3 linked regions of the Elephas maximus indicus genome follow. The protein of the gene in region 1 purifies or fractionates together with the protein of each later gene. This does not show direct contact. Links are inferred from orthologs where the notes say so. Each region holds a gene or a part of one and is shown in the gene's direction. Other genes may lie near its edges.

The links. The genes of interacting proteins can lie anywhere in the genome.
Region 2: the proteins of FYN (region 1) and HSP90AB1 purify together in Homo sapiens (affinity purification with mass spectrometry; 4 studies listed by BioGRID and IntAct, with this or other methods). This does not show direct contact. The link is inferred for Elephas maximus indicus from reciprocal best matches to the Homo sapiens genes FYN and HSP90AB1.
Region 3: the proteins of FYN (region 1) and CDC37 purify together in Homo sapiens (affinity purification with mass spectrometry; 5 studies listed by BioGRID and IntAct, counting the BioPlex papers as one, with this or other methods). This does not show direct contact. The link is inferred for Elephas maximus indicus from reciprocal best matches to the Homo sapiens genes FYN and CDC37.

What each region holds. Positions count from the first base shown.
Region 1 is NC_064819.1:177,871,696-177,879,435, reverse strand, and holds the start of FYN (tyrosine-protein kinase Fyn), read left to right. Parts: upstream 1-4,647; 5' UTR 4,648-4,738; intron 4,739-7,740. UniProt on the Homo sapiens protein: Non-receptor tyrosine-protein kinase that plays a role in many biological processes including regulation of cell growth and survival, cell adhesion, integrin-mediated signaling, cytoskeletal remodeling, cell motility, immune response and axon guidance.
Region 2 is NC_064819.1:108,806,443-108,814,378, forward strand, and holds the start of HSP90AB1 (heat shock protein HSP 90-beta), read left to right. Parts: upstream 1-4,864; 5' UTR 4,865-4,977; intron 4,978-6,394; coding exon 6,395-6,541; intron 6,542-7,164; coding exon 7,165-7,371; intron 7,372-7,481; coding exon 7,482-7,641; intron 7,642-7,799; coding exon 7,800-7,933; intron 7,934-7,936. UniProt on the Homo sapiens protein: Molecular chaperone that promotes the maturation, structural maintenance and proper regulation of specific target proteins involved for instance in cell cycle control and signal transduction. Undergoes a functional cycle linked to its ATPase activity.
Region 3 is NC_064821.1:28,499,654-28,507,381, reverse strand, and holds the start of CDC37 (hsp90 co-chaperone Cdc37), read left to right. Parts: upstream 1-4,656; 5' UTR 4,657-4,758; coding exon 4,759-4,860; intron 4,861-7,728. UniProt on the Homo sapiens protein: Co-chaperone that binds to numerous kinases and promotes their interaction with the Hsp90 complex, resulting in stabilization and promotion of their activity. Inhibits HSP90AA1 ATPase activity.

The sequences.
Region 1 (7,740 bases):
TGAAAAGGATTTGAAGCACTTACTGATGAAGATGAAAGACCACACCCTTCAATATGGATTACACCTCAACATAAAGAAAACAAAAATCCTTACAACTGGACCAATAAGCAACATCATGATTAATGGAGAAAAAATTGAAGTTGCCAAGGATTTCATATTACTTGTATCCACAATCAACATCCATGGAAGTAGCAGCCAAGAAATCAAAAGACGCGTTGCATTGGGCAAATCTGCTGCAGAAGGCCTCTTTTAAAGTGTTAAAAAGCAAAGATGTCACTTTAAGAACTAAGCTGCCCCAGACCCAAGCACCTAGTGTTTTCAATCGCCTCATATGCATGTGAAAGCTGGACAATGAATAAGGCAGACTGAAGAACTGACCCCTTTGAATGATGGTGTTGGGGAAGAATATTGAATATACCATGGACCTGGACTGATGGCACTGGGTTGGGTGGGTATGGACTGCCAGAAGAATGAACAAATCTGTCTTGAAAGAAGTACAGCCAGAATGCTCATTAGAAGCAAGGAGGCAAGACTTTGTCTCATATACTTTGGACATGTTATCAGGAGGGACTAGTCCCCGGAGAAGGACATCAAGTTTGGTAAAGCAGAGGGTCAATGAAAAACAGGAAACCCTCAAGGAGATGGATTGACACAGTGGCTGCAACAATGGGCTCAAGCATAATGATTATGAAGGTAGCACAGGACCAGGTTGTGTTTCCTTCTGTTGTACATAGGGTCACTGTAAGTCAGAACTGACTCCACGGTACCTAACAACAACAACAACATATAGTTGCAAGAGCTCTGCTGCTAGCCAAAATGCCAGAAGTTCAAATTTACCAGCTGCTCTTTGGAAACCCTATGGGGCAATTCTACTCTGTCCTATAGGGTTGCTATTCTGTCCTATAGGGTTGCTGAGTCAGAAAGGACTTGGGTTTGGGTTTTGGTTTATACACTTGTTCAAAGAGCCCTGGTGGTGCAATAGGTTAAGCGTTTACTGCAAAGGTCAGTAGCTGGAACCCACCAGCCTCTCCACAGGAGAAAGATGAGGCTGTCTGCTTCCGAAAAGATTACAGCCTTTGGAACCTATGGGGCAGTTCTACTCTGACCTATAGGGTCACTACAGATTGGAATCCACTCCACTGCAAAGGGTTTGGTTTTGGATACACTTGTTCAGACCATTAGCAAATTCTCTCGAGGAGGCCAAATCCATTTAAAGCTACATTTAAGAAGACCAGCAGATAAAATGATAGGCAAGAAAAGAATTGCAAAAACAGGATGAAGTCTCGATGGGAGCAAGTTAATCTATCATTTTAATTTCATTGTCTCTTCTTTTCGTCCACTAATTAGATCAAGAAGCTGCTAGAGTTGCAGAGGCTAAAAAGTGACTGAGTCCTTTTGAAGAAGTCATAAACAACGAGCTGCCTTGCCCCATGTCTTAGTCATCTAATGCTGCTATAACAGAAAAAACAGAAGCGAATGGCTTTAGCAAAGAAAAGTTTATACTCTCACAGTCCAGTAGGCTAGAAGTCTGAGTTCAGGGCACCAGCTCCAGGGGAAAGCTTTCTCTCTCTGTGGGCTCTGGAGGAAGGTCTTTGTGATGCATCAGTCTTCCTTTGGTCTGGGAACATCTCTCTGCAGGAACCTCAGGTCCAAAGGACACGCTGTGCTCCAGGTGCTGCTTTCTTGATGGTATGAGGTCCTCATATCTCTCTACTCGCTTCTTTCTTTTACATCTCAAAAGAGATTGGCTTAAAATACTACCTAATCTTATAGATTTTATCAATATAACTGCAACTAATCCATCTCATAACATCATAGCCATAGGATTTACAACACATCACATCAGATGACAAAATGGTAGACAATCATACAATACTGGGAATCATGACTTAGCCAAGTTGACAGATATTTTGGGGGGGACACAGTTCAACCCATGACACCCCACCTGCTCCAGATTTCATATAAAATAGATTGAGTCTAATGTGGAATTCCAAGGAGGACTACATCCTAACAATGATTATTCTTGTAATAGATGAGGCTAGTGTGAGATTAGGATTACTATTTCACCGATTTTATGTATGAGGACACTAAGATTCAGAAGGGTTAAGTGTCTTGGCTTATCAAGGTGCTCCCACCAGAGCACTATAGAGCTGGAATCAGAAACAACTCCATTCCTCTAGACCAGTGCAGTCCAACAGAAACAGAATGCAACCTACATCTGTTATTTTAAATTCTCTAGCAGCAATATTAAAAACATAAAAGAAACAGGTGAAATTAACTTTAATGATATATTTCTTTAGAACAGTATAAACAGATTACCATCATCTTAACATGTAACCAATATAAAAATTATTAGATATTTTACATTCTTATTTTTCATGCTAAATGTTAGAAGTCAAGCGTGTTTTTTACAGCACATCTCAATTTCCACTAGTCAAATTTTAAGTACTCAAGTACATTTCAAGTACTCATTAACCATACATATATGGCTACTTCACTGGACAGAACACCACTGTGGCGGTGGTTCTCAAGATGTGGTCTCCAGACCAGTAGCATCAGCATCCAGGAACTTGTTAGAAGTGCAAATTTTTGGGCCCCATTCCAAACACACATTATCAGACCCTCTGTGGATAGAGCCCAGAAATCTGTGTTTTAACAAGCCCATTGAGATAATTTTGATGCACCCTCAAGTTTGAGAAACATTGATCTAGACAACTGCCTCTCCAATCCCAGGCTAAATAAATCCAGGACAGTCATGGAAGTCTAAGAACTAAGGAAGAAGAGCCCCTTCTCTTGAGATACGCAATTCTTGGCTAGATGAGGTTGGCATTCTCTTGTATGGAAATCTTCTAGACCTAGCTGTGGTTCCATTTCTTGGAAGTATGGAATGAATTACCAGGCATACAATTTAAACATGGTTTTATTTTTTGCTTGTTTAAGAAGAAAAAAGCAAAAACAAAAAGTAGTAACCACTCTGTATCATCTATCCCCTTGAGTTTCTTCTCTTTTCTTCAGTTTCCTCATCCATACAATGGGGATCCTTCGATAAGTGTTAGCAACTTTAAAAAAAAAAAAAAAATTACTGAGTACAAAAAAGAAAAGAGTCAGCACAACTGATTTTTTTTTTTAATTAGTGGGCAAGAAAGGTAATATTATAGATTTTGAGCATAGAAGCAGAAGTTGATTCACTTATATTTCTTAGAGCATTAGTTTTGCTGAGAGAGGAGGGAGAGTTTTTGCCAACATCGTTAAGGAGAATGATTCTGGGCATGCCTTGAAGCAGAGCTTTCTGTAAACAGGAATTACCTATGAAGAAAATCAGGAAGCCAACGTGTTTCTTTTCATGAAGTTACATCCTGCCATAGAAAAGCTGGATAGGAAATAAAGACTGATGCACTCCACCACTGTATACTATACACCGGCTATTATTTCATCAAGGGAAACCTGAGCAAAGGCTCAGATTCAGTGTAGGGAAAAAGCCATGGAAAATCAAAGACAACCACTGGCTACAATTAAACATGATTTTGGGAAGAAATGTACAAACAAATCTCTACTCTGTGATCGTGGGTTCCTTTGTCACAGCCTCCCTCTCTCCCCGTTTCAGTAACACTTCCTCGAGATTTTTGTTTGAAAATAGAAATATGTAAGTATATCTATGAAAATGGAAGACAAATATATTAATTCCTAACTTTTTTTTTTTAGTTTTTATTATTACTGTTGTTATTATTTGCTGTGTGCGTTTCCAGGGTTCTCCCAGCTTTTCCAGTTTCTGTGGTAGAATTCTACCTTGCTCCGTACTCTTTTCAGTTTGACCAGAAGAAACGCTTTCCTACTCTAACATTTTCGCATTTTATCCTCCGACCCTTAAACAAAAAGACACCAGAAAGGCATGGCACCCCATTTTCGAGGCAGGTTCCTATGTTTGGGGGAATGGAAGATGCTAATCTGCAGTGGCATCAGCAACCTTCCATAAAGCAGAAACCGCAGCTCACACCTCCTCTCCTTTCCCCGCCCTAACCCACCACCTCACAACTCCACAATCCTTTAAAAACAAAAAACTCCTCCAACCTCTCATCCCGTCGCACACCCCACAACGGCACGCACGCCAGGATGCCGGCTGCCACAGTAACGCTGTACCCACTCGGCCGCCCCACCCACTGCGGTCCCGCCCCCGCCCCAGGAACCAATGGTCGCCGCCCGCAGCTCTCAAGGGGCCCTTTGATTGGGGAGCGGGGGCTGCCACTCTCACGGCGCGTCCCGCCCCCTCCTCGCCTCCCTCCCGGGCTGGAGGGGCGCGAGCATCAGCGGGAGTAGCTGCGAGCAGGCGGTGCGTCTTTGCAGTTGCGCCATCTGTCAGGAGCGGAGCCGGCGGGGAGGGGGCTGCCGTGGGAGAGGAGGAGGGGTCGCCGCGAGCCGAGGGCCTCCGAGACCCGCCCGCCCGCCCGCCGGCCTCGGAGCAGAGGCCAGGCTGCTCTCCGAGCCGCGCGTCCTCCGCCGTCCGGGCGCGCGGCGCTTCTCCCCGCGCACCGAGGGCTCCCGGGCTCACACAAAGCCGCCGCCCGCGCCACAGAGGGACCCGGCGGCCGGGCCGGGGAACCCCGGCGCCGCCCCTCTGCTCTCTCGGAAGGCGCCCCGGCTCCGGGACCAGCCGAGTAGCCGCCGGAGCCGCCTTGGCCGCGCCGGAGGAGGGCGGGGAGAGGACCATGTGAATGGGCTCCGGAGCCTGAGCGCCGCGCAGGTAAGCGGCCGAGGATGCGCGCGGGAAGCAGTGGGGATGCTGCGGGGCCGCCCGGCCTTCGGCGCCCCGGTTCCGCGCCCCCCCGCCGCGGGGCCCCGCGCTGCAGTCCCTCGGCCGCCGCCGCCTCCCGGCCTCTCCGCGGGCTGCCGGGGAGCTGGCCGTGCTCGGGGACTTCCCGCGGCCAAGCGGGAGGACACCTCTGCGGAGGGCGCCGCGGGGCAGCGCAGGGATGGGGGCCCATTTCCCAGCCCGCGAGCCGGCGCCGAGTGAGAATAGGAATTGGCTTGGGGGCGAGGCTGGCCGGGACTCGGGCTCCGCCCCCGCCCTCCTTTCAGGGCCCCTCGCGGGAACCAGGGCTGTGTGTGTTGTTTTAATGTCAGCGATGATGTAATCACTTAATAATTGATGCCCCGTGCTGCTTCCCTCCCCACCCCACCCCACCCCACCCCACCCCTGCCCCACTCCACCTCTCGGCCTCCTCCTCCCTCTGCGGCCGTCTCCTTCCCCTTCGCATCCTTCTGCCTATTTCTGGCACCTCCCTTGTACTTCCCCCATCCTCCCCTTCACTCTTCCTGTGCCACCACCCACCCACCCACCCACCCTTCCTCTTCCCCTGTGCTGGAGCCTTCCCTCCTCTTTCTCTGCCCCCTACTCCTGCTGTTCCCTCAAGCTTCTTTCTCCCTTCGCCGATCGCTGTATTTCCTCTCCGCTTCCCTGGATCGATGGCTGTTTTTTTTGTTTGGTCGCCTCCCTTCTCTTATCTCTGCGGCCACAGGCGGAGATGACTGGACCAGAAAGAGGCCACCGAGCTTGGGTCCAGGGAGGAGAATTGCTAAGACTCGTTGAGAAGAGGGATAATAAAATCACCCTTCTTGTCCCTCCTCCCCCAGTAAATCACACAGGCTCCCCGGGTGTGTGTGTGTATGTGTGACACAAAGGGCTCTTTCAGTGCACAGAGAAGAGACACACAAAGTACCCAAGGATGGGCCCGATGCTTCTTGTTTCTCTTCCCTAGGGCTTCGCTTTCGCTCAGATGAAGCAGTTGATCTTCTTTGTGAGAGTCTTTCCTGCCACATTTACCAAAAAATAAAAGGCCCCAGATGCAGGGTGGCAGGTGCCGGCATTTTGCTGTGTTCATGGGGCATTTTACTGTGTTCACGGACCGGCAGTGTTGACTGGCAGCTGCAGCGTTTCCTAGATTCAAGGAGAAAATGATTACAGCAGTCTTTTAAGAGTTGCTTTAGTGTTCTAGGTAGCTCCACCTTCTTTTTTTGAAATTGGGTACCATGAGTTGGGGTTCGATAAGTTGGCGTGGGAGCAGAAGAATTTTGTTTCTAAGTCAGAAAATTAAATTGGTGTTTGATAAGAGCGATGCAGCCTGACTTGCTGCTTCTCCCAAGTCTAAGGCCACTGCGCTGAAGTCTTTTGAAAAGGAATCTTGTCTGCCCAGTGATGCTGGTTTACCATTAGGTTTAAATAAGTACCTAGGGACATTAATAAAACAGCATTGAATTGGCATTTGGAAGACTGCTGGAGACTGTCTCTTCCCTGCTTCAGGGTAGCCTTCAGACGCCCACATCCTTCCTCACACCCCCAAGCAACTGCAATACTTTCCACCCTTTGTGCTCTCTTTCTACCCAGTCCCTGCCCCATGGGTACTGTGATTTCTGATGAAGAGACCCACGGACTTTCAGAGGAAGTGGTTTGTTAACTATCTAAGGCTTTGGGGACAGTGAGATATGAACAGGGATATAGAGAATCTTTTGACTGAACTCTAAACCATCTGCTTGACGTTCCTCTTAAAGAGGAAATGGTAATATAAATCTGGGGGCTTATGTTCCATTTTGTAAGCCAGTGATTATTTCATGCTTAGTGGATAGTGTCAAAGCTGAGGTTGAACGTGTTGACTCCTAGGAACATGGCTCCTTGACTGTTATAAGTAATGGAACAAGTTTATTCTTAAAGACTTTTACTAGGAAGGAGCTGTTACGGTTCATTAAACGTTTACTTCTGCATTTTCTAAGGACATTCATCGTGGAACTTTTACATTAGAAAAAGCAATGGGTTAATGAGTGTATTATAAAGACAAAGGGTTGTTTGTTTGATTCCAGACCCAGGAAGGAGAGTCAGTGCACAATAAACTCACACTCTTTTGACCAAGTTAAAGAGACTTCTTGCATAAGGCTGAGTGTGAACAAAACCACACTCTGCTTTCTGTGTTTTTGCTCCATGCTTTCTCCTGGGTCTGAAATCCCCAACCCCATCTGACTTGCTTAGCAAAGTCCTATTTAACTTTCAGGGCCCAGCTTAAATGTCATCTCTTCTGTGAAGCCTTCCGTATTTTATATCATCCAAACAAGTTATCGTGCCTCCTCTGTATCCGTCCACCCCGAACTATTTTATTTTCAAGCTTCAATAGCAGACATTATGTTTGGTGTGTGTGTTTCCACCATTGCTTGGTCAGCACATCGTGAAAAGGAACCTGGCCTTATTTATCTTGTCTCTTATCAAGTGGTACCTCAGTAGTTTCTAGTGTGAATTAGTCTTTGGTATGTGTTAAAAAAAAAAAAAAAGTAGGCACTGCATATTAATTAGGCTCATGTTAGTAGGTTTGACAGATCACTACCACTAGTTGTCGCTGAGTCGACTCCAACTCATGGTGACCCCATGTGTGTCAGAGCTGAACTGTGCTCCATAGCATTTTCAATGGCTGGTTTTTCAGAAGTAGATCACCAGGCCTTTCTTCCAAGGCACTTCTGGGTGGAATCAAACCTTCAACCTTTCATTAGCAGTCAAGCACATTAACCATTTTCATTACCCAGGGATTCCATTTAGCAAGTAACCCAAAACCCACTGCCCCCCCTAATATAATGGCTCAAAAGCAATAGACTTTTATTCTTTCTCATGTTCAGAATGGGTATTTTTGGCCAAGGAGTGAATTTCCTCCATGCAGTGATTCTGGGTTCCACATTCCTATCTTATAGCTTCACCATTCCCCTAAA
Region 2 (7,936 bases), about 69 Mb from region 1:
GGCTGGGCTGGGCCTTTGCTATTTCAGGAACATTGAGGGTTGCACATAGTGCTGGGATTAAGGATTCAGGAGACTCCAGGTAGTCTGAAGCCCATCTTTACAGCCTCGCGTAACTTCCCTCACTCTTTAACATCAGAACTCCTTAGCATGGCATTTGCAGCCCTCTGTGACCTAACCCCTGTCGTCTGGGGTCCTCCTGCCTCCTTCATGGGTTTCTGTTGGCTTTGTATAAATGCCCTTTATTATGTTGAGGAATCTCTCTTCTATTACTATTTATTTTTTAAATAACTTTTATTAAGCTTCAAGTGAACGTTTACAAATCCAATCAGTCTGTCACATATAAGTTTACATACATCTCACTCCCTACTCCCACTTGCTCTCCCCCTCTTGAGTCAGCCCTTTCAGTCTCTCCTTTCTTGACAATTTTGCCAGCTTCCCTCTCTCTCTATCCTCCCATCCCCCCTCCAGACAAGAGTTGCCAACACAATCTCAAGTGTCCACCTGATATAATTAGCTCACTCTTCATCAGTGTCTCTCTCCCACCCGCTGATCAGTCCCTTTCATGTCTGATGAGTTGTCTTCGGGGATGGTTCCTGTCCTGTGCCAACAGAAGGTCTGGGGAGCATGGCCGCCGGGATTCCTCTAGTCTCAGTCAGACCATTAAGTTTGGTCTTTTTATGAGAATTTGGGGTCTGTATCCCACTGATCTCCTGCTCCCTCAGGGGTCCTCTGCTGTGGTTCCTGTCAGGGCAGTCATCGATTGTGGCCGGTCACCAACTAGTTCTTCTGGTCTCAGGATGATGTAGGTCTCTGGTTCATGTGGCCCTTTCTGTCTCTTGGGCTCTTAGTTGTCGTGTGGTTCTATTACTATTTAGCTGAGAGTTTTTATCATGAACGGGTGTTGGTCTTTCTCAAATGCCTTTTCTGTACCAATTAATAAGATCGTGTGGATTACATTGATTGTTTTTCTAATGTTGAACCATCCCTACACACCTGGTATGGATCCCACTTGGTCATGGTCAATTATTTTTTTGATATGTTGTTGGATTCTATTGGCTATAATTTTGTTTAGGATTTTTGTGTCTAAGTTCATGAGGGATGTTGGTCTGTAATTTTCTTTTTCTGTGGTGTCTTTACCTGGTTTTGATATCAGGATTATGCTGGTTTCATAGGATGAGCTTGGGAGTATTCTATCCTTTTCTATGCTCTGAAATACCTTTAGTAGTAGTGGTGTTAACTCTTCTCTGGAAGTTTGGTAGAATTCTCCAGTGAAGCTGTCAGGGCCAGGGCTTTTTTTTGATGGGAGTTTTTTAAATTACCTTTTCACTCTCTTCTTTTGTTATAGGTTTATTTAGTTGTTCTACCTATGTTTTTCTTAGTTTAGGTAAGTGGTGTGTTTCTAGGAATTTATCCATTTCCTCTAGGTTTTCAAATTTGTTAGAGTATAATTTTTCATAGTATTCTGTTATGATTCTTTTAATTTCAGTTTGGTCTGTTGTGACACCACCCATCTCATTTCTTATTTGGGTTATTTGCTTCATCTCCTGTTTTTCTTTTGTCAGTTTGGCCGACGGTTTATCGATTTTGTGGATCTTTTCGAAGAACTAGCTTTTGGTCTCATTAACTCTTTCAACTGTTTTTCTGTTCTCTATTTAATTCTGGTCTAATTTTTATTATTTGCTTTCTTCTGCTGCCTGAGGTCTTCTTCTGCTGCTATTTGTTTGAGTTGTAGGGATAATTCTTTGATTTTGGCCCTTTTTTCCTTTTGTATGTCTGCATTTATTACTATAAATTGACTTCTGAGCACCACTTTTGCTGTGTCCCAAAAGTTCTGATAGGAAGTGTTTTAATTCTCATTTGATTCTATGAATTTCTATATTTCGTCCTTAATTTCTTCTATAACCCAGTAGTTTTTGAGCAAGGTGTTGTTCAGTTTCCATTTATGATTTTTTTCCTTGCTTGTTCTGTTATTTCTACTTTTATTGCTTTATCATCAGAAAAGATGCTTTGTAATATTTCGATGTTTTAGGTTCTATTAAGGCTTGCTCTGTGGCCTAATATATAGTCTACGGTAGAGAATGTTCCATGTGTGTTGGGAACGAAATATATTTGGCTGCCACTGGTTGGAGCGTTCTGTATATACCTGTGAAATCATAACCATTGGTTTTGGCATTCAGATCTTCTGTCTTTATTGAGCATCTTTCTGGATGTTCTGTCCTTCTCCGAAAGTGGTGTGTTGAACTCTCCTACTGTTATTTTGGAGCTATCTTTTTTCAAAGCCATTAAAGTTTATGTACTTTGGAGCCCTGTCCTTGGATGCATAAATATTTACAATGGTTATATCCTCCTGGTATATTGACCTCATGGGTTTTTGAGTTTTGGTCCCTCTCTTGGATCTCTGTGCCTTTCCATACTTCTCCCTCTCCTGGGAGTAGACCTGTGCCATACCCCTAAGCATGCCCCCTTCCCCAGCCTAAGTTGGGGCCTCTGCTGCTCCTCCCATACCCCTCTGTCTCACACTTGGCCTGCTACAGCTCCACTCAATTGGGGGCTCCTTGTTCTGTGTGGACATCCCTGCATCCCCAGGGTAGAGCTCTTGGACACAGGTAGAGGTCATCCTTACAGACTTCCTGGACAAAAAGGTGGAATTTTTGCACTGAAAAAGGTGGAATTTCTGCACTGGCTCAAGGTTTGAGATTTTCTCATTTGGGGAAGTGCTGGAAGAGGGCCCTATTGTGACAGAGCAGGAGTCCAGTTCAGGGGAAGCCCATCCACAGGAGTAATTCCTGGTCCATTTTGGACTTGGGTCTCAGAGGGGAGACAGCACCCCCCAACCCATTTCTGGAGCAGGGACAGAGCTGGAGGAACAAGGGCTCTCAGCTGAGTGATTCTGGTGTCACTGAAACCTGCTTTTCCCTGTCCATGGAAGGCGGAGTTGCTTTTACCTCCCTCAAGGCTGTGAGATGTTGTGAATATGTTCTTTGTGACTGGGGAGCAGATTTCTGAGAAAGGGTATGCTGAGATATGAGGTTCTGGTTAGAGATCTGATCAGAAACAGAGCATGCTGGAGAATTCCTGACAGCATGGCCTATGAGACCCCCACACTCATCGGACTTCTCGTGGCCCTAGGCTTCTCATAGATCCTATAAAGGCACGTAGAACGGCAAGGTAAGATAAAAAGTGTGTGGTGGCAGCAGAGATTATGGGATGGAAGAGTGCCGCGGCAAGAAGAGAAAAGCAGGAGTCTTTCGTTCTCTGGAATTCAACAAAGAACAAAGAATTTGAAGGAAGACCGGGTGCCAGGGCTGGTGAGGGAGCACCGAAAAGTGGTGGTGGGGGAACCCCTCCCCAATATTCCAGGTGCAGAGAAGACAGGGAAAGGAGATGATGAACATGTACACAACAGGGAGTCACCATTCTCCCCTGGAGGAGCTGTGAGTCCTGCAGGCTTCCCGCAGGAAGCCTTGAAAAGGCAGAACAGCTTGCCAGCCGGAGAGGAAAGCACGAGGGGCAGAGAGGCAGGAGAGGCTTGGCGTCAGCAGCTCGCTAGGCAGGCGCACGGCCTGGTGCTCCGGTGCTGCAGCCAAAGGGGAACAAATTTGGTTCGGGTCGTCTGGAGCGTGCTGTCCTTCGGCCAGCATATTCATGCCGCCTCTGAGACCTCCGTCACCCTGCACAGGTCCCTGGAGATTCCACCACCGCCCCCCCCCACCGCCCACAGGCCCAAGGGAAAAAAAAAAAATAAAAAAACAGCTTTCGAAAAAACGTCTACGTGCTGGTGTAGGGAGGATGCAAGTCCCTGCGCCCCCTGCACGTGGGCGGCAGCAGGTCCCGGGAAGGTCCTTGGTACCGATTTTGTCCCCAGCCGCTCGGTGAAGTCGGCGCCCGGGGAGCCGCCCCGGGAGCCGCCCCAACAGCCCATGTGTTGTGTGACTGATAGAGTAGGGGAAAAAGTGTCAGTAAATCTCCCCGTTTACGCTCCACTCCACTCCACTCCTCCGCCCCCATACAAGGCTAGTCTCGCTGGTCCGATGGGCAGGTTTGAGCCTCCGGCCGCCTACACTAATTCGGATGAAAACCGAAGCGCCGCACAGAACCGGCGCAGAGACGCGGCCCCGGCCGCAGTGGGAGGGGCGAAACCGGTAGGACGAGCGGGGGCGGGGCCATCCAGAGCAGCCTAGAAACTGCTGGAAGGTTCGCAGTACCTCCACCGCTCCTTCCGCCGAGCGCCGGCAAAAAGTTCCCTTGCCAGCTAGCGCCCCTCCCCCCAGCCGTCGCCCAGCCCCCTAGCCAAACCCCGGCCCATCTTCCTGTTCCCAGGTGGGCCGGGGTTGAGGGGTCTGTCCGGAAATTGAGCCTCGCGTTCCACACAGGCCCGGAAGGAAGCCCCACCGTCTTGTTGAGATGTGTGGAGCGTTCCAGGAGGACGGCTGGGCCTGGGAGCTGAGGTGGCGTGGTTAGCCGCCCACACCTAAAACTGTGGTCTTTTCCAGATATTCCCCCCAAATCTAGAGAGAGCCAGCGGCTACTCAATTTTTTTTTTAAGGTCACCATTTATGCTATATAAACACTCCCAATCCCCCAATCCTGGTGGGGTCATGCCCTTTATCTGCAGAGAACGGACTGTGAACACGATAAAAGACGTGTGTGAACACACAGTAGATGTTACTGATGCAGTGATCCAGCGTCTGTGGAGCCAGTCGGCTTCTTCTATTCCTCCCCGCATCTCCCCCCAGCACTCCATGTTGGACCATGACGTCAGGTGGGCGGGCGGCTGCAGGTGCGGTGCTGACGGGCATCCTCCTTTAAGGCGGAGGGATCCCGGGCCGGGGTGCCGGGTTGTGCTTCGCTTTATATAGAGCGAGTGGGGGCGCAAGGCAGGTCTCTTGAGTCTCCGGCCGCGCGGTTTTATATCGTGCGAGCTGTGCACGGGCTTTAGCTAGGACTCGTTGGTATTTGTCACCCTTCCCATTCAAGGTAAGGCTGGGATCTTCTCCCCGGCTTTTCTCCCGCGAGCGTTTCTTTGAGTTGTTCTTTTCGCGTTTCCAAGTTCCAGGTATTGTGCGGGAACGGCCTTGGGACAAGTCTCCTTTTCTCTCAGGAGTGGGAAGGGGTCTCGAATTTGTCTTCGTTTCATTCCGTTTTTATGTGTTTGGGTGATGGCGGAGTTTGCCCTAGTTGGCGACTAGCTCCGGGCGAGGTGGGACGCAGTGTGGGTCTAGAGTGGTGGTCAGCCGCACGTGGTGGCCGCGCGGGTCCGGTACGCTGCCATGTTGGCCCCTACACTTCCGGACGTGGCTACGGGGCGCACAAGGGTCCTTAAGGTTGTGGGTCTGCGCGTTTGAGGTGACTCAGCACAGCCTTGTGAAGCCAGCCTCACTCGCTGACTTGCTCGGTGTTCTTCAAGTCCAGCAGATCCGTTTTTTGGAGGGTCCGTGGCGGGGGTGGGATGGGACACGGACGCTTTCGGCGTTATTCGGCCCCCCGTGTTTCATCCCTGTTTCCAGATCTTTCTGGCATTCCGGGGGGGAGGGGCTTTGAAGGATTCATGGGTTCTGTATCACTCCCGCCCCTGACGAGAACTGGGTTTGTTCTGGAAGCTTCTGGAGCCAGGCGCCCCGCCCCGGTGCCCGGATGCTGGGGCGGAGGCGGGCTGTGCGGCGGCGCCCCCTCCTCGCGTGGCCGCAGCCGGCGCATGTCCGGCAGTGACGAGGGTCGGTCCGGCGGGCTGCGGCCACCATCTTAGTTGTTTGCTCTGGTTTTAGGTTTTAGTTTGTAGCTGTGGGGTCGTGTTGGAGCTTTTGTTTTCTCGTTCTTTGTCCTATTTAATTGCATTTCATGGACAGGTTCTCCATCGATCCTCATGTTGCCTTCCCCTTCCGCGTGGGCCAGCATTCTTGGTGCCTGGACGGTTCCGTATTCTTCGGAATTAGACATTTTTAATGGAGGACTAATTTTAATTAGTGCTGTTTCAGTTTTAATTTAGTATTCAGGTTGTTTTAGTCTTTACGTCGAAAACGGTAATGCTTTGCATATGTGAACCTGTATTAGTAGGGTTTTCTCTGGGCGTTCAAAATACCTGGGGTAGGGCCGGTGTTCTGTGTTTTTTAGCACGGTGCTAGAAAACGAGGTTCCTGGGCCAATGAGTAGCAGTGCTTTACTTACCTTCCCCCCAAAAATTGTTTTGTTGAAATGTTCTAGGTTTTTCTGAAAATCATAATAGAATAGGGCCTCCAGTTTCTTGGCAGTGAGTAGTGCTCAGCCCAAAGTCCCTTGAACTAAACCACTTTTTAGTCTTGATACATGGGCCGGGGTGGAATTTAGGGGTTTGGGACTGAAAGGGCAAACACTGGGTATTCTGTTCCTTTGTAATATCTGATTGTTCTTACTGCAGATGCCTGAGGAGGTGCACCATGGAGACGAGGAGGTGGAGACCTTTGCTTTCCAGGCAGAGATTGCCCAGCTCATGTCTCTCATCATCAATACTTTTTATTCCAACAAGGAAATTTTCCTTCGGGAGTTGATTTCTAATGCTTCTGATGTGAGTTTCTGGTATAGTCCGAGCATTCCAGAAGAGGGAGATGGGTAGTTTGACATTTGGTTGGGGCATCTATTGAAGGAAGGAACCCCTGGTAGCACTTTGGGCTGCTGGCAGTTCCAGCTTACTGGTGAAGGAGAAGAAACCTGGAGAGTTCCCATAAAAATAACAGCCTAGGAAACTGGGGCAGTTCTGCTCTGTCCTGTGTGGTCACTGTGAGTTAGCACACAAGAACTGTTGGAGTGAACCGTACCCTGTTGAAGGGAATGAACCTTGTTGTCTGTGGGTCCATGTTGAGCTTCAAAGGGAGGAGAAGGGGGTCTTCTTGGAGACCACTTACCTAAGTGACTGGTTTTTTAGCCTTGTTTTAAGGGGTAATCAGAAATTGGGGCTGTTTGGGAGTAAAAAGGAGCCTTGGTGGCTGCTAACCAAAAGGCTGGCAGTTTGAATCCACCAGCTGCTCCTTGGAAACCTATATGGGGCGGTTCTACTCTATGGTTGTATGAGTCCGAATTGACTTGATGGCAGTGGGTGGTTTGGGAGTAGAAAACCTAAGGGTTTTCTTTGGATGAAGAGATGGAGCTTAAGGAAGCAGATTCTAAAGCTGTTACTTGTATTATTTTCAGGCCTTGGACAAGATTCGTTATGAGAGTCTGACTGACCCTTCTAAGTTAGACAGTGGTAAAGAGTTGAAAATCGACATCATCCCCAACCCCCAAGAACGCACTCTGACGCTGGTGGACACAGGCATTGGCATGACCAAGGCTGATCTCATAAATAATTTGGGAACCATTGCCAAGTCTGGGACCAAAGCATTTATGGAGGCTCTGCAGGTATGTAGCATTTTAGCTAGGCACACACCATTTACATTCATCCACGTTCTTCAGCTTGCAGTTCTTTCAAAACTGGCCTTTTTTTTTTTTTTTTTTTAACTCTTTGGTAGGCTGGTGCAGACATCTCCATGATTGGGCAGTTTGGTGTTGGATTTTATTCTGCCTATTTGGTGGCAGAGAAAGTGGTTGTGATTACGAAACACAATGATGATGAGCAGTATGCTTGGGAGTCTTCTGCTGGGGGTTCTTTCACAGTTCGTGCTGACCACGGTAAGTACTGTGGATTTTGTGTTAAAGATTAAAAGTCTTAGAATTGTTTGCGGGTGTTCTGTAGTAGAAATTTTGTTACATCGTGAAGCAGTTTGTCTTACAGTACAGTTACATGGTCTTATCTGTTACGTTCAGTTCCACGTGACTTCTTTTTCTAGGTGAGCCCATTGGTCGGGGTACGAAAGTGATTCTGCACCTTAAAGAAGACCAGACAGAGTACTTAGAAGAGAGGCGAGTCAAAGAAGTAGTGAAGAAACACTCCCAGTTCATAGGCTACCCCATCACCCTTTATGTG
Region 3 (7,728 bases), on another chromosome or scaffold:
GATAGCAACGTATTAACAGAAATCTTACTTCTTCCCACCCTCCGCCTCTCATTTTCCTCCAGCCCCACTAGCCTCCTAACAGTTAGTTCCTCAGACACTCCAAGCATATTCCCACCTCAGGGCCTTTGCCCTTGTTGTTCCCTTCAGATGGGAAACAAGCCTCAGAAATCCTGTGTTCTCCTACTCCTCTGGTCCCCTTCATACTGCATGTTTTGTTTTAGACGGATAACAGTCTAACAAGATATGCAACATATTATTGTTATTGTCTCTTCTTTGATTAGGACACAAAGCAGGGATGATGGTCTGTTTTGTTCCCTGATGGGTTCCAAGGCCTAGAACACTGCTGACATGCAATAGGTGGTACCCTCACCTCCTTCAGGTCTCTGTTCAAAGTCACTTCCTTCCAGAGGCCTTCTCTGAGGTAGACCCCTCCCACCCCTCAGCTCGATTTTTCTTCTCAGCTCTTGTTTCCATGATGTGCAACCTGTGCAGGCACCCAGGCCCCAGCCCCACATTTTCATCTTGCCCGGACCCTGCAAATTCTGTCGCCAGTTCTGGCTGTTTGCCCCAGTGCCTGGAACAGCACGTGGTAGACACTCAAGGATTTGTGGAATGAAGGAAGGCATGGAGGAGTGGATGTCCAGGGGAGGCTCACAGGCCGGAGACAGCAGCAGAGACGCACACCCCGCCGCCACTGGACACATATGGACATCTGCAGACATCAGCTCAATATAAGCCCGTGAGTGGGAGGCAGGGTGAACTGGCCTGATGCCCCAGGCGGGGGGCGCCTCTAAGCCTGCCTCCCTCCCCGGGCAGCAGGCCAGCTGGGGCGGGGGTTCAGATGGCAGAGGAGACAGCGCTGGGCAGCTTGGGCCTGTCACCTGGCAGCCCCACAGCCCTCAGAAGGAGACAGGGATGGGTGGCCACACAAGAGAGAAAGTAGTGAGGATGAAGTCCCTGAGTATCCCCTGATCATTCAGGCCTGTAGAGGGACAGTAACTATCCAAGGTCCATGCCTGGAGCTGGAGCAGGGCTGGGAAGGACTATCAGGGGCCCCAGACACGTGTGCTCATGTGCGGCTTTGGACATGGCCACTTGTGTATACCTGGACAGACAGAACTTTCTAAGATTGCGTTGTGTAGCGTGCACACATGACAGGTTGACATCTGGGGGTGGCAGGGAAAGAAGCATGTGGACACAGCAGGAAGCAGCATTTCACAGGGGTCAGAAATGCAGGTTCTGGGCTCAAATCCCTGCTCAGGCCCTTACTTAGGCTGTTGGTTTGGACCTGTGTATGGTATTAGTGTCATTAGGTTTGTCTGGGTTTGAGTGCACAGGTTGCATGCGTGCATGAGGTTGTGTTTGAAGAGTAATTTAATCCCTCCAAGAGATCTTCCTGGATATCCCACTTGAAATGTCACAGGCCCCCTATTCCATCACGGTCCTAATAACAATTTGTTATGTATTTATTTGTTTATATTGTTTCTTTTCTGTTTCCTCTATTAAATGTCAGCTCCATGGGCAGGGAGTTTGGTTCCCCAGCACCTGGCATATAATGTTTTTGTTCTTAGGTGGTGTCAAGTCGGTCCCGACTCAGAGCGACCCTATAGGACAGAGTAGAACTCCCCCATATGGTTTTCAAGGAGTGGTTGGTGGATTTGAACTGCCCACCTTTTGGTTAGCAGCCGAGCTCTTACCCGCTACACTACCAGGGCTCCTGGCATATAATAGGTGCTCAATAAATACTTGTTGAATTAAAGAAGGCAGGGCTGTGTCTGTGTGGGTGTGGGGGGAGTGGTGGGCGCTGGCTGGGTATCACAGGAGCCAGGAGTGCCCTGTGCTCAATTCTGCTCTCTAACCCCTTTCTGTCCTAGCTGTTCACAACCATTCATTTATTGTTGCTAGCTGTCTTTGAGTCTGCCCTGACTCATTGGGACCCTATGCACAACAGGACAAAACACTGCCTGGTCCTGTGCCATCACCATGGTCACTTTCCGATTGGATCATTGTGATCCATAGGGTTTTCATTGGCTGATTTTCAGAAGTAGATTGCCTGGCCTTTCTTCCTAGTCCATCTTAGTCCGGAAGCACCTCCGCTGAAACCTGTTCAGCGTCATAGCAACACACAAGCCTCCACTGACAGACGGGTGATGGCTGCACATGAGGTGCATTGGCTGGGAATCGAACCCAGTCTCTCACACGGAAGGTGAGAATTCTACCACTGAACCACCAATGCCCCATCTGCCCTGCTGTGTCGCCTATGTCTTTCCCCTTCTCTGGGGCTCAGCGACTCAATCGTCTCATCTGTAAAATGGTGGCCGGGTGGAGGTTGGATTGTTTCATGATAAGCTCCCTTCCTGATCTAAAATGCTATGAACCTAATTTCCCCTTTAATTTGCTGAACATTTATTGAGCACCTACTGTGTGTCAGGCACTCTTCTGGCCCTGGCCCTACCCTCCTGTAGCTCAAAGAGAATGAGGAAGACATGAGCCAGAAATCTCATTTAATCTTGAGTGCGCCCTCCCCCAGTCCCTCTCCTCACCTGCTGGAATTCTAGTCTTCACAGTGTGGAATCACCTTGGGTATTTCTCTGTTTACACACTGATCTTGCTCCCTCATCAGCCTGGAAAGTCAGCAAAGCAGGGACCCCTAGGTGCTGTTTATTACTGCAGCCCCACGCCTTTGCCAAAGGGCCTGGCGTACAGTAGGCACTTGGGGGAATAGGTGTGGAATAGGCCAAGAAATAAATGATGGAGCAAAGGGAGGCTTGGCATGCATGACTTAATAACTTCCATGAGTCTGTCGTTACCCACTTCGCAGATGAGGAAACTGAGGCTCAGGAAAGCAAAGCCACTTGCTCGGTTCCCGCCGCAGCTAAGTGGTGTGTGGCTGTTGGATGCAGCAGAGGAAGCAGGGGTAGCGGAGAGGAGTAGTCCCAGCTCCCACCCCACCCCGCAGAAACAAGAGACACAAGGGGGTGCACTGATGCGGCGGTAAGACCAAAAGACAGCGTAAAGCAATTCAAGGGTCTGTCTCTCTCAGCCCCCAAGGCTGGAAATGCTTTGCTGGAAGGAGACTACGAAATATTTGGCGCTGATGGGGAAGCTGCCTATTCCCTGTTGCCAGCTCTAGAGATCTGGGACGCCTGAGACTCTGTTTCTCGGCAGCTTCAGGTTCCAAAGCCGGGGAGGAACCCCCCGCCCCGTGCCTACCGGGGAATCCCCTGCATCCGGGGTCCTCCCCACACACCCGGAGCCGGGCGGCTGGGCCGAAACCCGCAGAGCGCAGACGCGGTGCCCGGGTTTTCAGAGAGGCGGGGGAAACACCCCCCCGTTCGGGCCCCCACCGTCCGCGGCACTGGGTCCCTTTCCCGCCGCAGTTCGCAGCACGAAGCTTACCTTGCAGGGGGGCTGGGGAGGGAATGTGTATGTGTGTGCGCGATTGTGAATCCCGCCGGTGTGTGGGTACGTGCGCGCGCGTCCCCGGGCGGTGACGGCCGCGGAGATGCTGGACTGCCAGGGCTGGAGGGGGAGGGGGGACTCCCCCGCCCCCGCCCGCCCACTCGCGGGCTTGAATGGACCGCTAGGAGGAAGGTCGGCAGCGGGAGGGCGCTTTTGTCTGTCTGTCTGGACCCTCCCTCTCCCCCGGACCGGGCACTCCCTGCCCCCCCAAACTGGAGACCTTTCCTCCGTTCTCTCCTGTCCCCCAATCACTGACTTCGAGGGAGTCTGGGAAGTGGTGCCCCTCGCTCGGGTGCCAGAGCTCCTCCCATCCGCTCCCAGCCGAGCGTCCTTTAATCTGATAATCCTGGCCCAGGGCTGTAACCAGGCCTTTTATCTTGGTATCAAAGCGTGGGTTGCGGCCGGGGTCCCCCAAGCTCAGAGTAATGGAGTCTTTGGAGCCTTGACAAGGAAGGGGCCCCCGACGAAAAGGAAGGAGCTAGGAGCGGCCCCAGACAGCGGCGCCCAGGAAAGCCCCCCATCCGCCTCTCCACGCTCCTCCGCCCGGCGCGGGGCCAGGAGCATTGGCCCCAGGCTAGACATTAGCGACACTCAGTGGCCGCGCGTGGAGACAGGCGCCAGGAAGGCGGGGGGGAGGGGAGGAGCCCGGGTGATTCCAGTGGGACGTGTGTCTGTGTTCGAGTCCCCGTTCAGGAGAGGCAGAAGACGGGGGCGGGAAAGAGACCTGGAAGGTGGAGGCCGATGTCTGAGCCGAGGAAATACTAGCCCCTAAGGGCAGTGCCACGTCGCCTTCAGATTGGAAAGGTCCCCTTAGATCACACACCCTTCCCAGCGCAGGGCTAAGTGTCCCCTCACAAGAGGCAGGGGGCGGGCCTTCTCTGCAGTGGGCTCAGGTTGACGTCATGCGGCGTGGCCAAGGGGACAATCCCCGCCCTTACTCTTGCCAACTGCCCTTTGAGGCCGCTGCAAACGCTCACCGTGGGGCGGCGAAAAATGAAGGAGATCGTGGCTGGAGCGCCCTCCCGTGTGCCCTCAGGAGGTGCCCATTGGAGCCCCCGGGCCCGCTGAGGCGGGGTCTTAGTGGAGACTCCCCGCAGCCAGAACACGTGCGCAGTGCCCTTTAAGGCGTGCTCGGTCTCCAGTGGCGCCGCCGTGGTTACTAGGGATGTGACGTCACGAGTGGGGGCGGGCGTGTCCGGCGGAAGCGGAAGGGGCGGGGCCCCGCGGCCGTGTCTTCAGCACCGCTGCAGCCGCCGCCGCCGCGGGAGCCGGAGCGGGCTGGGCCGCTGAGGCAAGATGGTGGACTACAGCGTGTGGGACCACATCGAAGTATCTGACGATGAAGACGAGACGCACCCCAACATCGACACAGCCAGCCTCTTCCGCTGGCGGCACCAGGTATAGTGCACGCGCCCGCCCGGTTCCCCGCTCGCCCGGACCCGGCTCCAGAATTCTGACCCCAAGTACGGGCCAGGGACCTCTCCTTTAACACCTGTGCTCCCACCTCACACTCCGGATTTTTATTATCTCCCGGGGTCCCTCGATTCAACTCCAGAACCCTGAGTACCGCCAGGACCCTGTCCGTCTTACTGCGATCCCGAGACCCCTTTGATGATCTGCGTGGGACTCCCTATTGACCCCTAGAACAATTTTCCCAGTCTAGGTTCCCAAGATAAGCGTTGGGTATATCCTCAGTCCTGTCCGCGATCTTCCATTTACACTCAGAACCCTGCCTCAGAGCCTGGATCCTCAATTCAGCTAGGTGATTTGTGGTCCTATTTGGATCCCCACTTCTGAGCTGGGATACTCCACTAGGCCCCCCAATCCTAGGGTCTGGAACCCCAATACTTTAATCCTGTCTGGAATCCACCTCCAGGGGTCTTGATGGGAATTCCTAGTCAGATTCCTGTTCCTAGGCTTGGGACCCCAACCTGCACCTGGGACCCCTTCCCTAGAGGTGAGATTTGCGATCCACCAGTGTCCTCATCTTGCCTGTTGTTGTTTCGAATTATGGCGACCCCATGCGTGCACAGTAGAACTGCTCGGTGGGGTTTTCAAGGCTGTAACCTTCCGGAAGCAGATGGCCAGGCCTTACTTCCAAGGCACCTCTGAGTGAGTTTGAACCGCCAATCTTTTGGTTACTAGTCCAGCACTTAACTTCTTGCACCACCCAGGGACTCCTCGGTTCAGCCTAGGACCAGGGTTTTGGAAACTCCAGACTCAGTCACCAGCTTCCATCCTGTGGAGTTTCCAGTTCTGACTGTCCTTCAGCCTCACATACTATAGATCTCATTTCCCATTACACTGGGAAACCTGTCTCCATGGCTTCCGGCCCAGCCAGAGCCCCTGCCTGTGTTTAATATTGCAGACCCCATTATCACCCACCTCCAAGACAGGCCTCCCGTGTGAACCTCTGCCAGCACTGGAAACCCACAGCTAAACCCAAACCCAGGACCCAACACCCACCCTGCCTTACCCTTTCCCGCAGCCTGGTCTGCCATTATCTGATGCCCAAATTGGTCCTGCACTCACCCAGGGACCCTACTGATTTGATTTCTAAATTCACTACCCCTTCTTTTATCTGTCTTCCCACAACACAAGTACCAGTTGCCATCGATCGAGTTGACTCCGACTCTTGGCAACCCCATGTGTGTCAGAGTAGAACTGTGCTCCACAGGGTTTTCAGTGGCTGATTTTTCAGAAGTAGATTGCCAGGCTTTTCTTCTGAGGTGCCGCTGGGTGGACTGGAACCTCCAACCTTTGGGTTAGCAGCCAAGCACGTTAACTGTTTGCACCACCCAGGGACTCCCACAAGAGAACTCCCAGATCCAGAGCTCAGAATCCCAAGTCTGTGTGACCTGTGACCTGCCACCCCGTCCTTGACTGGTAGTGCTCATGGGCCAATAGGATGACTCTCATAAAATCTAATGGTCTGATCCTCTGCTCCCCCAAATCAGAACTCCTGTACCCCCCACACCTATGCCCGTTATACTCTCAAACTGAGGGCTTATGCTGGCTAGGAGTTCTCCACCTCCTCCTATATGGCACTTCCCAGTCATTTATCCAGAAAATCCTCAAAGGGCACTTCCCCATCCTTATGGGACCCTACACTGGCTCCTGTATCTGGTCCCCAGTTCAACTTTGAGCCTCCCATTCCTTAAAACAGCAGTCTCCTGGGTAATGTACCTGCTGGGCAAGCCACTCGTATATGGGAGGAAGGTTCTAGCACCTCTGTTTCTTGCTGTGTGTAACATTTTGTTATGAAATATTTAAGACCTTCACAAAGCTCTAAAGAATGTTCTTGGGAATACCTATTTCTGTCTATAAAAGAGTTAATCTTTACTACTGTGTAGAGGTGATTTGGTCCCCATCCCCATGCCCGGCTCCCCAGTGCCAAGTGCCAAGGGCAGGGTGTCTGGGCGATGCCCCCTTTCCTGCAGTGTCCTCTTCCAGCCACACCCTCCTCCCTGGCCCACAGCCTTTTCCTGTCTGGCCGCTGAGAGCCCCGCCCCTTTCCTTCTCTTAAAGGCCCTGTGGCTGTAGTGGAGGCGGTGGCCTGGGTGTTTCCAGCACCAGGTTCATGGACAGGCAAGCTTGGATTCTGATCCCAGCCCCACCGTTTCCCACCTCTCTCCGTGTGAAGTGAGGTTCATAGGCCCCATCCATGAGTCCCTGTGAAATAGGGATAATATGGCCCTGTCTTTATGAAATTGTCGGAATGAAAGAGATTAGGTTTGAAAACAACCGGGCTCAGGGCCTGGGAGGCAGTGTTCCAGAAAAGGAGGTAGGCTTAGTTAAAAGGTAGCCTGGTGCCTTTTGACTAGCCCAGCTCCTTCTGCACCACTGACAAGCTGTCTCAGTTTCCCCAGCTGGGAATATTAATAATATCAATTTTGTAGTGTTGTGAGAAATATACTACTTAATGTCTGTAGTGTTTTGTGGATAGTATCTAGTACATAATCTTTCTATAAACGTTAGCTATTGTCATTGTTAATATTTAGGTAATTCATGGTCGTGGTGAAAAATTCCAAAGCTTCTAGTAGGGATAAGAGGACAAATGAGTCTTGCTTCCTAGCCCAGCTCCCCAGTTCCCTTGCCCAGAGACAGCCACTGTTCCTGGTTTTTTGTGGCTCCATCTAGTAAGCTGTTCAGCAGTGAGGTTCGGTGGCCTAGGTTTCCCCATCTGTAAGGCAAGAGGGCAGTGATTCCAGCTGCCGTGGCTCCTGGCCTGCCTAACCTGCTATGGGCCCTTCGTAACATGAGGTG